Linked DNA regions of Kluyveromyces lactis. Each later gene encodes a partner of the first gene's protein in a complex. Links are inferred from orthologs where the notes say so. Each region holds a gene or a part of one and is shown on either strand. Other genes may lie near its edges.

The links. Proteins that work in one complex are often made in the same cells at the same time.
Region 2: the proteins of HFL1 (region 1) and ATG8 are in contact, whole or in part, in a crystal structure (PDB 6AAF), measured with the Schizosaccharomyces pombe proteins. The link is inferred for Kluyveromyces lactis from reciprocal best matches to the Schizosaccharomyces pombe genes hfl1 and atg8. Residues at the interface, in NP_593211.1 of Schizosaccharomyces pombe: Leu386, Gln387, Phe388, Glu389, Ile390, Asp391, Glu393, Met394, Glu395, Leu397, Tyr398, Gln400, Ala401, Lys402, Met404, Arg405, Tyr406, Gly407; in NP_596531.1 of Schizosaccharomyces pombe: Phe5, Phe9, Lys13, Glu17, Arg20, Ile21, Tyr25, Arg28, Val31, Ile32, Lys46, Lys48, Tyr49, Leu50, Val51, Pro52, Asp54, Leu55, Gly58, Gln59, Tyr62, Val63, Lys66, Arg67, Thr87, Phe104.

The regions. Positions count from the first base shown.
Region 1 is NC_006041.1:1,378,692-1,385,286, reverse strand, and holds HFL1 (Hfl1p), read right to left. Parts: upstream 3,736-6,595; coding exon 2,452-3,735; downstream 1-2,451. Other genes in the region: KLLA0_E15445g (uncharacterized protein), read left to right, coding at 1,077-2,057; KLLA0_E15401g (uncharacterized protein), read left to right, coding at 3,904-6,039; AIM23 (Aim23p), read right to left, coding at 6,145-6,595. UniProt on the Schizosaccharomyces pombe protein: Vacuole membrane protein that recruits ATG8 to facilitate the degradation of vacuolar integral membrane proteins during early-stationary vacuole turnover (EVT) when cells enter stationary phase.
Region 2 is NC_006041.1:1,826,624-1,832,005, reverse strand, and holds ATG8 (ubiquitin-like protein ATG8), read right to left. Parts: upstream 2,310-5,382; coding exon 1,935-2,309; downstream 1-1,934. Other genes in the region: NUP170 (Nup170p), read left to right, coding at 1-1,260; RTT105 (Rtt105p), read right to left, coding at 2,816-3,379; isoleucine--tRNA ligase ILS1, read right to left, coding at 3,749-5,382. UniProt on the Schizosaccharomyces pombe protein: Ubiquitin-like modifier involved in autophagosome formation. With atg4, mediates the delivery of the autophagosomes to the vacuole via the microtubule cytoskeleton.

The DNA of each region.
Region 1 (6,595 bases):
AAAAGAATGCTTTCGGACATTCAACTCTGAGATTACATAATACCATCCACGTGACTACGTCACGTGGATGGTATTATGTAATCAGTGTATTTTCTTTCCTTACCCGGCCGCCACCCGTCACTCAGCCGTTTCAGCTCTTCCCTTGCCTGAAACGGCGGAAATAAACTCCGTCGTCGTGCGACACCCGCAAAATCGGGCAAAGCACAGTGTGGACAATGAAAAAAGGGGTGCAGCAAGAGGTGGGTTTTTTTTCCGCGTTACCCGGAGATCATTCCCAGGTGTTTCTTAACTCAATATGCCAGTAGTTAAAGGAAGAAAAAGAAATAGAATCTGTCATTGCCAAAGGGCAAAGCCAATTTGAACAGGCAATTTAGTAGTGAACAGGGCAGCGAAAGCTGCCCTGTTCACTCGTATGGCTTAAGTTCCTTTATTCGAGCCAAGGCATCAAATTTAGGTATCACATGGCTGGGTACTGTACCGGTTAAATTAATTAAGTCAGTCATCGTGTATTTCTTTTCGATTGGTGCCAGATGAGTCGCCCATTTATTGGTCATTTGTCAATTTTCCGTTGCATCATTAGAGAAAGAGAATATATTGTAATGATGAAAAATTGATGTATAAACGGAGAATATATCTTGATACCCTTCCTGGGTTCAGTATCCAATTTTAGATAATTATATAACAGTAGCTGAATATTCAGATTAGTTTATAGTTATCCGGTATCATTCAGCAAGGCAAGAACCGTTTTTCCTCCGGCTAAGTCGTTGCTTCTTCACCCAGATTTCAGGTCCAGTTTATTGCGCTTTTGTTTCCTTTACATAGAGTGAAAGCCTAAATTGTGAAAAATTTGAAAAATTCAAACTCTTCAATCAGTATAGATACAGAGAAAGAGAGAGAAGAGACCGAGTTTTGACAGCATTTGGTTCATCAACAATCCCAGAATTTGTCTTAATACACCACCGAATCCTTTTAATCAGGTAAGAAGTTGTTAGTTTTGAAACACTCTGCTATTTTTTTTCTTGGTTTGATTGAGTTTTGGTCTGATAGAAAAAGAGAAAGAGAGTGATCATTTTAGCATGTCTGACCCAGGTATTCAGGAGATTGATTATGAGGCTTTGCCAGATACTGCACCACTATCATATCAATTGATTGCAGGAGCGTTTGCAGGTATCATGGAACATTCGATCATGTTTCCTATCGATGCTTTGAAGACTAGAATGCAAGCAGTATCGGAAATTAAGGCTGCGGCGTCGGCGTCGGCATCTGGTGGTGCCGGTGCTGCCAGTGGTGGTGCCGGTGCGGGTACCCTTTTACAACAGATATCGAGAATCTCTTCTACAGAGGGGTCCCTTGCGTTGTGGAGAGGTGTGCAGTCTATGGTGATGGGTGCAGGCCCTGCTCATGCAGTATATTTTGCAACTTATGAATTTTGTAAAGAACAGTTGATCGACGCTAAGGATTTCAATACCCATCAGCCGTTGAAAACTGCCGTCAGTGGTGTTGCTGCCACTGTGGCCGCAGATGCATTAATGAACCCCTTCGATACAATCAAACAGAGGTTGCAATTGCAATCCAAGAGTAGTGACTCTTCCATGTGGAGAATGGCTTTCAACATTTATAAGAACGAAGGTCCAATGGCTTTCTTTTACAGTTATCCAACCACTTTGGCTATGAATATCCCATTCGCAGCTTTGAACTTCGTGATTTACGAATCCAGTACTAAGTTCTTCAACCCAACTAATGCATACAACCCTTGGATCCATTGCTTGTGTGGTGGTATCGCCGGTGCCACTTGTGCAGCTGTTACCACGCCTTTAGATTGCATCAAGACAGTGTTACAGATTAGAGGGAGCGATACCGTCCATGTGGAATCGTTCAAAACCGCAAATACTTTCAAGAAAGCTGCTCAAGCCATATGGCAATCTTACGGTTGGAAAGGTTTCTGGAGAGGTTTACAACCAAGAGTTATTTCTAATATCCCTGCAACTGCTATCTCCTGGACCTCTTACGAATTTGCTAAACATTTATTGTTCACAAAGCAAGAACCCTCATTATAAATATCGTTTGAATGATCTAATGACCCCCCCCCCCCCCTTACAAACACGCACAAAGTATAACGCTTACCCCTCCCCAATTCCACAATGTTGTGCTCTTAGTATTCGTTTTACTTGACATGCTTATATTTAGAGTCACCAATCTTTTACCTTCTTCTTCCCCTGTTATTCCTTTTTATCTGGCAGCATGGTCTTTTATTCCACAATTTCTAACTGCTATATATCCCCTGTAGATATTGTATGTATATTTAAGCGTTTCATATATCCATATAGATTTTGTCATTTCTCCCACAATTAAACGCTATTGCTGCTGTTTTCTCTTTGTTCTAAAATCATGACTGCCCTCTCTTCCTGTCACTAGTAAGTACAATACAAAAGTCCCACCCTTAAAAAACATTTACTTCGACCTCATTTGTTTCCTCAAATCATCAATTCTAGCATCATATCGATGTGATGTTGCGTCCCAGACCACTGGATAATTGCTGTCCTCTGGAATATACCTTGGCAAATTCAAACCTTCAGTGATATCAGTCCATGCCGATTCTAAATCGTTCCCGTTATCAGTTTCGGTGCTGCCATATCCACTAGATCCGACCCAGTAAGATGACATACCCTGATTTGTGTACCTTAATCCCCTAGTCAATCTGTTGGTTCTTGAGTGCGTGTCTCTGTCCGCGAGCATTGATTCCACCGAGTCAAAGCTCCTGTAATCTCTGTAATCACCATTTATTACACTCTTGAAATCCCACCATAGATCTTTAAAACCAAGCCAGTCCTTCAAAGCATAGAGGATCTTCAACCTTCCAGAGTTTGGGTACTTGTCCGGACCGTATTCGTCACTTGAAAACGCATACCAATGTGCAATAGCAAATCCAATCATTTCAACACAAAGTACACTATTACCGATCTCAAATGCCACATATTTGTCGTCACCATGTATATCAATGACATCTATAATCGTTAAAACGTTGATAATGAGACTTTGCCAGTACGATGCGAAAATAATCAACTTGACACACATAAATTTCGGCCATGGTTTGAATACTGAAAGCTCTGTGTACAAACATTTCCAGAACATCGCGAGACAGTAAAGAGACCATGTCACACTGATATTGTAGCATATTACTAACCAGACGGTATTCCATTGGAACGCTTCAAACGTTGCCATACCGATACAGTACACTGGCTTGAACCAAACGTATTGTAAAACACCACGCTTCAACGTCTCGAAATCGTGAGGATCACTAAGATCGATTCTTTGTAGGTAACGCCCAAAGAATGGGATAGCATGCCTGCTCGGTGGATACATTGGCGCGATGTTGATGATGATATTCCGTTCACCACCTAGTCGTAAAGTCAAATACGTAAAGAACTGATAGATGACCAATGCCTCATAAATTTCTCTAATCGGATCAATATAAATGGCGCCTATCTCTGGTCGTAAAATCGAAGCAAAACATGAGATGGAAAATATAGGTACCATCATCTGGATCCTTAATATCAACCTTTGCTGCGAAGGAATTCTATAATTCCACAACTGCCCGCATTGTGAAATAATGGATATACTTGTGGCAACTATTGTACAAATACCACACAAATATATCAGCCAGTTCGGAAGAGAAGCACCTGAGGTAATAGCAGCAAGGTTCCACTCATCAAAGTGTCGTACAAAAGAAAACATACAAATGCAGTAGACGGTCCTGAAATGTGTGGTTTACCTGTCAATTTGTCTTGGTTGCTTTGTTCTTTTAATGATTATTCTGACATATATATATTATGATTATTTTGTAAAGGGTTACCGTTTTGATATTTTTGTTGAAATAAATAAAGTGCGATGAGATGAGATGAGATGAGCAGAGATGAAATTAAAGAAGGAAGAGTAGAGGTAGTAACATGTTTTGAACCCTTTGATCTGAGGTGCAATTACTGTATAAGAGAGTTCACAATCATGCTAGGAATTGTTTTAGTCATATTATCTGTTCGATTTGTTCTAGGATTTGGCGTAGGGTTTCATTTGACGCAAGTTGCTAGGTCAATCCCTAATCACGATTCCTTTACCAAAGCTGGTTCTTTGTTTCTGGAGTCTGTTCTGCAGTTTGATAAATTAGAAGTAGATTGGGATGTGTTCTTGCAGGATGGTGTACAGCTATGGCAAGAAAAGTATGGCACAGGTAATGATGATCATGGGTTAAAGCAGTTTATATTAGGGGTGTCGGTAGGAAATAAGATAAACAGTCTTCAGAATTATACCGACCATGGAGTGGTAAATATTTTGGCAAACTTAGAGTTCGGAGGTAGTATAGAAGATACTTTGAGATATCTACGGGGTTCTGCCGATTTAGTTCACTTATCTTTGTTACTTGGTCAAGACAATATTGAGTGGAATTATTACTTATCTACGCAAATTAAGTTACCCTTGAAGGAAGACGTTCTCGACCTATTATCACAGCAAAATATCGAAGGTGATTGGGTTAGCATCGTTGGCCATATGTTTGATATGCTTGGTGTCTTGCACTCGGAACTCTATTTATTACAGAACAAAAGGTTTCATGCCTTGGACGTAGCGTATTCGTTGAGTCCAGGTGGTCCGAAACTTTTAAGAGAACATTGGCGAGGAGGAGAGTGGAATATCTTAGCAGAGTTGCAAAAGTTCACTTATGGAATTGGATTACAATTTAACGTCCAACAATCCAGTGAGAAATCCTCTTTATCTATTACAACTCAAGACTCCAACAGTGATAATAAATATGTGACTCCATTAAAAAAGTTGTCGCTATTTGGTACCAGCATTGTCAGTGGAGAATTCTTGGAAGATGTTCCCTGCATTGCAGTCGGGGCACCATTAGATGATGTAAGTGGGTCCATTTATGTCATTCCTATGTCCACACTTGAATCTGAGGGTAAGCAAAGTTCAAAAATGACTGCTCTTTATGGGTCAAAAGTTCATAAGTTCAGATTATCGAATTATGACTATCTTGTTGTTTCTGAGCCTGGTAAAAAATTTATTCATATCTACTTATTTGGTGAGAAGATTATAACTATCGTGGATCCTTCGTCTAGCTATCAAGAAGTTAGTTGCATAGTTGATCTTGACAACGACCAGATACCAGATTTAATTTTGACTTGCAAGTATTGTAATAAGAACGAACTAGGAAAGGTGATAATTATTCCAGGATTGAATATCATCCCATACTTGGTTTCAGGTAAAATAAATCAAGTGGAATTTGTAGATAATATCGGGAGTATAGTCTTAAACGGACCAAGATCTTTAAAATTTCAACATTATGGGGCTAACGCTGCAGCATCTGGCAGTTTTTTATTTGTGACTGCTCAAAGCCTAGGACTAGTGTACGGATACAACTTACAACAATTAAATACAGGAATTCCACCATCGTTTTACATTAAAGAGGATGATATCATCTTTCCTAGCGAAGACGTCCCATGGAAATGGGGGGATATTATAGCATCCTCTGAACATGGATTCTTTGGTGCAGAAATGCACGTATGGACTCATGATCAAGTAGATTATATTGCAATATCACAGTTGCTCTTCAATAAGGTCTACATATTCAAAGATGCTGGCAACTCTGCACTAGAGGTCTGGTTAATATTGGAACTTGACACATTAGTTGACCTTAACACTGTCAAGTCCTCTATTGAGTTTGGTAAGGGTGTTCACTTCTCACACTCCCGGAAAAGGCTATTTCTTTCTTCTCCGGGCAGTTTTAATGGCGCTGGTGCTATCTGGAGTGTCTCTATGTCAGAAATGAAGAGAACAGTTGAACTTTGGAGATCCAAACATTTGCTCATAACCGCTTTAAAACACCTTGAATTCGTTAACCCCGAGCAAAAGAAAAAGGGTTGGTCTAATTTCGGCTCCAATTTGGCTGAGTCCCCATTAGATGACTTATTAGTTTCCATTCCACAATTTGGCTACGGTGACTTACATGACCTTTCGCTAATCGGAGCATTATTGATTCATTAGAATACATCACAATTACGTGAAATTTTTCGATATATGTACGCTAATTATCAATATTTACAAGATACATATGCCATTATAACGTCTATCGTCCGAGATATTTCCTGGTTATTCGGTGGAATCGCTGGTTTTTTTCTTCTCAATTCTGCGTTGCAGCTTTTCCTGCCTTTCCCGTTTCCGTTGCTCCTTGAGAGCTTTTTTATCAACTCCATTATTAGTATTTACAAGATTTGGAGTTACTTTCATAATTATTCTTTGATTGATCAAACCTTCTTGTGTAATCTGTGATGAATATTCGCTGATTATTTCGTTTAGCTTCTCCAAAACCTCTTCCCTTCTTTTCATTTCCTTTTTAGAAATAGAAGATTCCTGCATCGCTTCTAATTCCTCCTCATCTATAGGTGACAAGTTAGAAGAGTCTTTATCATTAATGAAAAGAGCAATCTTGCTACCTTTTTCCAAATTAGAAACAATTTCACTACATTTCTGTTTTTTCAAATCATAATCCGATATTTGCCATGAAACCTTGATTGATTTCCAAGATGAATCCGCTTTCGAG
Region 2 (5,382 bases), about 450 kb from region 1:
GCGATGGACAAGGGTAAATTGGCACTTCAATATGTTGCAGATGGATCTTTGGAACACGATGAAAGGAAAAAATACTACAATGCTAGAGTTTCGATCTATGAAATTGTGTTCGAAACTTTAATCAAAGTTGACCAACTAGCTGCTCTGCCTGAAAATGTTAACAATCAAGATATTCAAAAAACCCGCGATGAGGTTTACAACGTTACTTTAAAATATAACGACAAATTATTCCATTATCAAATGTATGATTGGTTGGTACAGCAAAAGTCTGAAGAAAAGCTTCTTCAGCTAGACTCAGATTTTATTCTACCATACTTAGAAGAAAAAGCAGCGAAATCCCTAGAAATTTCCAATCTTCTTTGGGTTTACCAATCCAAAAGATCGCATTTCTTGGAAGCAGCTCAAATTCTGTATTCATTAGCTATTTCGGATTTCGATATTCCTCTACAAAACAGAATTGAGTACTTGTCAAGAGCTAACGTTTTCTGTAATGGAGTCTCTCCGCCAAGCCAAAGGCAAGCCATGATTCAATTATCTGGCATGATAAAAGAAGTTGTCGATGTAGCAAGCATTCAAGATGAAATTGTCCGTGCTCTCAAGGATGACCTCAGGATTGATTCGACTGTCAGAAATGAAGCCTTGCAACAACTTGAAGGCAAAATTTTGACCGTGACTGAACTTTATAATGACTTTGCCGCACCATTGAGTTATTATGAAATTTGTCTGCTCATTTTCAAAGTCAGTGACTTTAGAAATCATGAGGAAATCATATCGAAATGGGAAGAGCTTTTCAGTTCTTTCAAGGAACATTTATCAGAGAACAATGCTACGGATGAACTGGAAAAAAGCACTACTTTCATTAGTCTAGCATCATCAACAGTGATTCGTGTTGGTAAGAATGTACGTACCAGTGAATTTGTGTTCCCAGTTGTTGATTTATTCCCACACATCTGTAGCCTAATATATGAGAACCTTCCAAAAGAACACATCAAAGCAGGTTCAATTGCATCTATTTTCATCCAAGCTGGCGTCTCATACGACCGAATGTACCATGTTCTCAAAGATTTAATTGAAACAACTACCAGCTCCAACGATATTTACGAACAAGAGATGGTTTGGCTGATTAAAGAATGGTATCACTCTGACAGAAAATTGAGAGATTTGATACCACTAGAAGAAATTCGTTCCTTCGACAAGTATTCAATTGAAAATGACCCATTGGAAAATTACAAAAAGCGCACAGGTGATAGTGTGTTTTGAGTTACTCTAACCTTTCAGCGAGATGGTAAAAAAAAGAACAGCTTTAGTTTAAAACGTCTGTTGTGGTGTTTATTTCCCTTTGTATACTATATTGATAAATAACATTTTCACCCCAATCTTAATAAACAAAACAACTAATATCAATATTGCTTTCTTATGATGTTGCGATAAGTCTTTGGTTATGGAAAGAATATATTAAACCGAATTTCGACCTGCAATCTGCTGAAGAGGTATATAAAATTGTATATTTATGAAGAACCTCTTTCGAAGTGAAAAAAAAAAGCCTAGAGATTTCATTATGGAACGGCAACATATGACTTCATCAGCAGGTATTATAAGCAACGCTTTGTCCAGATCTAGGGAACTGTTGCAGCTAGAAATATGAGAATAGGATAAATAGAAGGGAAAACATATCAGAAAGATTTCAAATACTGCTTCGGTATATATCTAGAGCAAAAGGTGTGGAAGAATAGAAAATAATAGCATCGTAGACATTCGACAATGCATTTCATCTTATCATCACTTCAATATTGTTATTCAGGTTCTTTCTTTTAGATCATCTTTTCAACAATATCTGGTTCAAAATTGTGCATTAGTTACTTGTTTTGCATCAAGCAGAACAACCTAATGGAATCATAAAAGAAAACTTAAAGGGAAGAAAGTTTAACTTAATCTCATTCCTCAGAAAACAGGGCATCGTCACCAAAAGTGTTTTCACTCGAATAGGATACATAAAGGAACCCGTCCTTATCCTTGTGTTGTTGGTAAATAGAAGACATTAAAGCTGCTGTTGGAGGTAAAGTATCATTGACAAAGATGAAAATAGCCTTTTCAGCAGGTAGCTTGATTCTCTTTCTAATTACATAAACAAATTGGCCAACAGTCAAATCTCCTGGCACCAAATATTTGCGTTTATCAATGTCTGGAATATCCGATTTGCCACCTCTTTCACAGATCACTGGAATACGGTTATGGAACTTTTGCACTATCCTTTCAGATTCAGCCTTTCTCTTTTCAAATGGGAACTCAGATTTGAATGCAGATTTCATTGCGTTTTAAAACTCTCTCCTATAATACGTAACACCGATAAAAATAATCAAACTCTCTTGAAATATTCTCCTGTCTCTATTTCAAACTAATAACCCGAAAAGATGTTTGTAACTTAACTTTCAAAAGTCTAGCTGATTTGTTCCAACTCTTGAATCGTGTTGTGTCTCTTTTTATCCGTCTTTCTGGTTCTTTCTCTCTCTCAAGAAAAAAACTTGCACGTAATAGCACTGTACTGCACTTTTCTTGCAAAACTCAAACAGATTACTGGGTAGCTAAGAAAAACGCTCTTTGTTTAGTTATCGATGATATGCGCCGCTTTGATCTTCGCGTGTGTTCCCTTTTTATACCCTTTCTGCTGTTTGGAAAATGACAAAACAAAAGTGTTCCCCCCTTAAACGGTTTGAGATGCCGTTGACCCTTAAGTCACGTGGGAAAGACAGAAAATGAATCACGTGATATCCGGGTAACAATACTATGTACGTATATATGTGTGGAAGCTGCTGCTCTATATGCTAAAGCCAGATAAGGTTTCCTCGAGCTCCTGTTGTTCTTGCTCCATCAAGGATTCGTACTCTTCCTGCAGTTCTATCAGCCGTATCAGCTCTTCATCCTCATTTAGCTGTTTTGGCTCCCTCTTTGTGGAAATATTATTCAACATAGCGGGTTCATCGGCACTATTCACGACCTCTCCTTCATCTTCTACCAGTCTATCAATCTCATCTGGCGGTATCTCGTGTTTCTGTGCTTCTTGTTGCATGTCTTGCAAGTGTCGTAGGTATTCTTGTTCCATGACGAATTGTTCCATGTCGTTTCTGTAGCTATTGATCTTCTTCTCTCTTGCCAGTTCCCGTAGTCTGCCCTTCCTTCTTTCTCTCATAAGGTCTCTAATGGGGGACGATGATGATAACGGTTGCTTGTACCTTTGATATTTGAGCTTTCGCTCTTCCAATATTTCATCAGTGATATTAGAATCGGCTCTTCCATCGTTACTTTGGACATTGTCAAGATCGGAATCGCTATCTTCTTCGTGATATCTGCCATGAACCGGACTGCTCGGTATACAGTTCATGTAGAGCTTCAAAGTTGTGGATTAACGTCTGCAATACACCGGACGGCCTGCTCCAGGCTTCTTTCCCCAGCGTACATAGAAATAACCTTAATCCTTTTGGCGTTTAATGATGCTGGTCTAGAGATATGGTTTTTTGTTCGATTAACTTCATAAACTGAAAACGCCTTAGAATTACATATACACATTATATTCGAAATAAGATATGAGATCGACTGTTGCTAGAGAATCAGCAGAGGTGATCTACGGAGCCAATAATTGCAATTAAATTAATTAAATGTGGTGAATTTATAAGTAGTACGGACGGGTTTCGTTTCACTAGAGAAACGTAACTGCTATACATTTTTTCCCACTTTATATACATTTCAACATCTATAATTTGAAAATCTTCAACTTGAAGATGGTATCGTTGATAGATAGTTCTTCATCAGCAAGTGGATTGGTTTCTGATCCTTCAGCCTTCAGGATTTCAGACCTACATGTCTTAGTCAACATGTCATGATGATCTTTGACGATATTCTCAAAGTCAATGGTATCTTTAACTAATTCATACTTGACAATGACATCATCTGTGGCTTCAAGACCACACTTCTTTCTCAGCTTTTGAACTCTGTTGATCAATTCTCTAGCAAGACCTTCAGTTTTTAGCTCATCGTAGATCTTGGTATCTAGAATGATCAAGACATCGTTATCAGTTCTGGTTTCTTGTCCGTCTTGAACAGCAGATTCAGGAAGCCCTCTAATGGCACTTAGATCACCTTTTACCAATTGAATACCTGCTACTTCAATTTCACCGGTAGACAAGTAATCCTTGACTTGGGCAGAAGTTAGAGTTGGTAGAACGTCTTTGACCTTCTTGGCATCCTTCTTCAACTTCTTACCTAATACTGGCCAGTCAGCAACTGCTCTGTATTCCACACCGTATTTTTCCTCCTCGGAAGTGATGATGATGTCGCGGACGTTCAATTCTTCAACAATGTACTTTTTCAATGCTTCGATGTCCTTTAGGTAATCTGGATTGGAATGTAGAATGACCAAGGTCTTTAATGGAGTCTTCAAAGAAATAGTCTTCTTTTCACGAATATTTCTACCAAGGTCGATAACAGATTGCATTCTCTTAACTGCTTTTTCAATATCTTCATCGTAAAGATCTTCGTTGACTTCTGGATAGCTCAAGAAGTGGACGGATCTAGAATCCTTACTGTATTGAGCCAATACTTCCTCTGGAATGAATGGTCTCAACTTGGAGTAAATGTTATCCGATAAGAATGGAGTGAATGGAGCCATAGCACGGACAAATGTGAACAATGCATCAAATAAAGTGTTCAAAGCCTTCAAACAGTCTTCGACACCACCTTCACCCTTCAAACGACGACGATTGAATCTGATATACCAATTTGTCAATTCATCAATAAAATCTAGTAGTCTTGGAACCACTGTATAAAGTTTGTAGGTGCTCATTTCTTGATGAATGTAAGCTACCAAAGACTGTAGAGAGGCAAGAATCCATCTATCCATGACATTATCCGATTTCAGGTGTGGGTTATACTTGAAGTCAACATCAGAATTCTTCTTCAACAAAGCAATTTGGCCATCCAAGAACTTGAAAGAGTTCCACCATGGCAACAAAACCTTGGAAACAACCTCCTTAACACCTTCTTCCTTGAACTTCAAAGATTCAGCCTTCAAAACTGGAGAGTTGATCAAGTACAGTCTCAAAGCATCAGAACCATATTTCTCCAAGACGATGTTTGGATCTGGGAAGTTCTTCAAACTCTTGGACATCTTCTTACCGTCAGCAGCCAAAACGATACCACTAACAATAACATTCCGATAAGGAACTTCACCGAATAGATGAGTACCCAAAACACCCAAAGTATAGAACCAACCTCTGGTTTGATCCAAACCTTCAGAAATGAAATTAGCTGGAACTCTCTGGCTGAATTTTTCAGTGTTCTCAAATGGGTAATGTTGAGATGCATATGGCATGGAACCAGATTCAAACC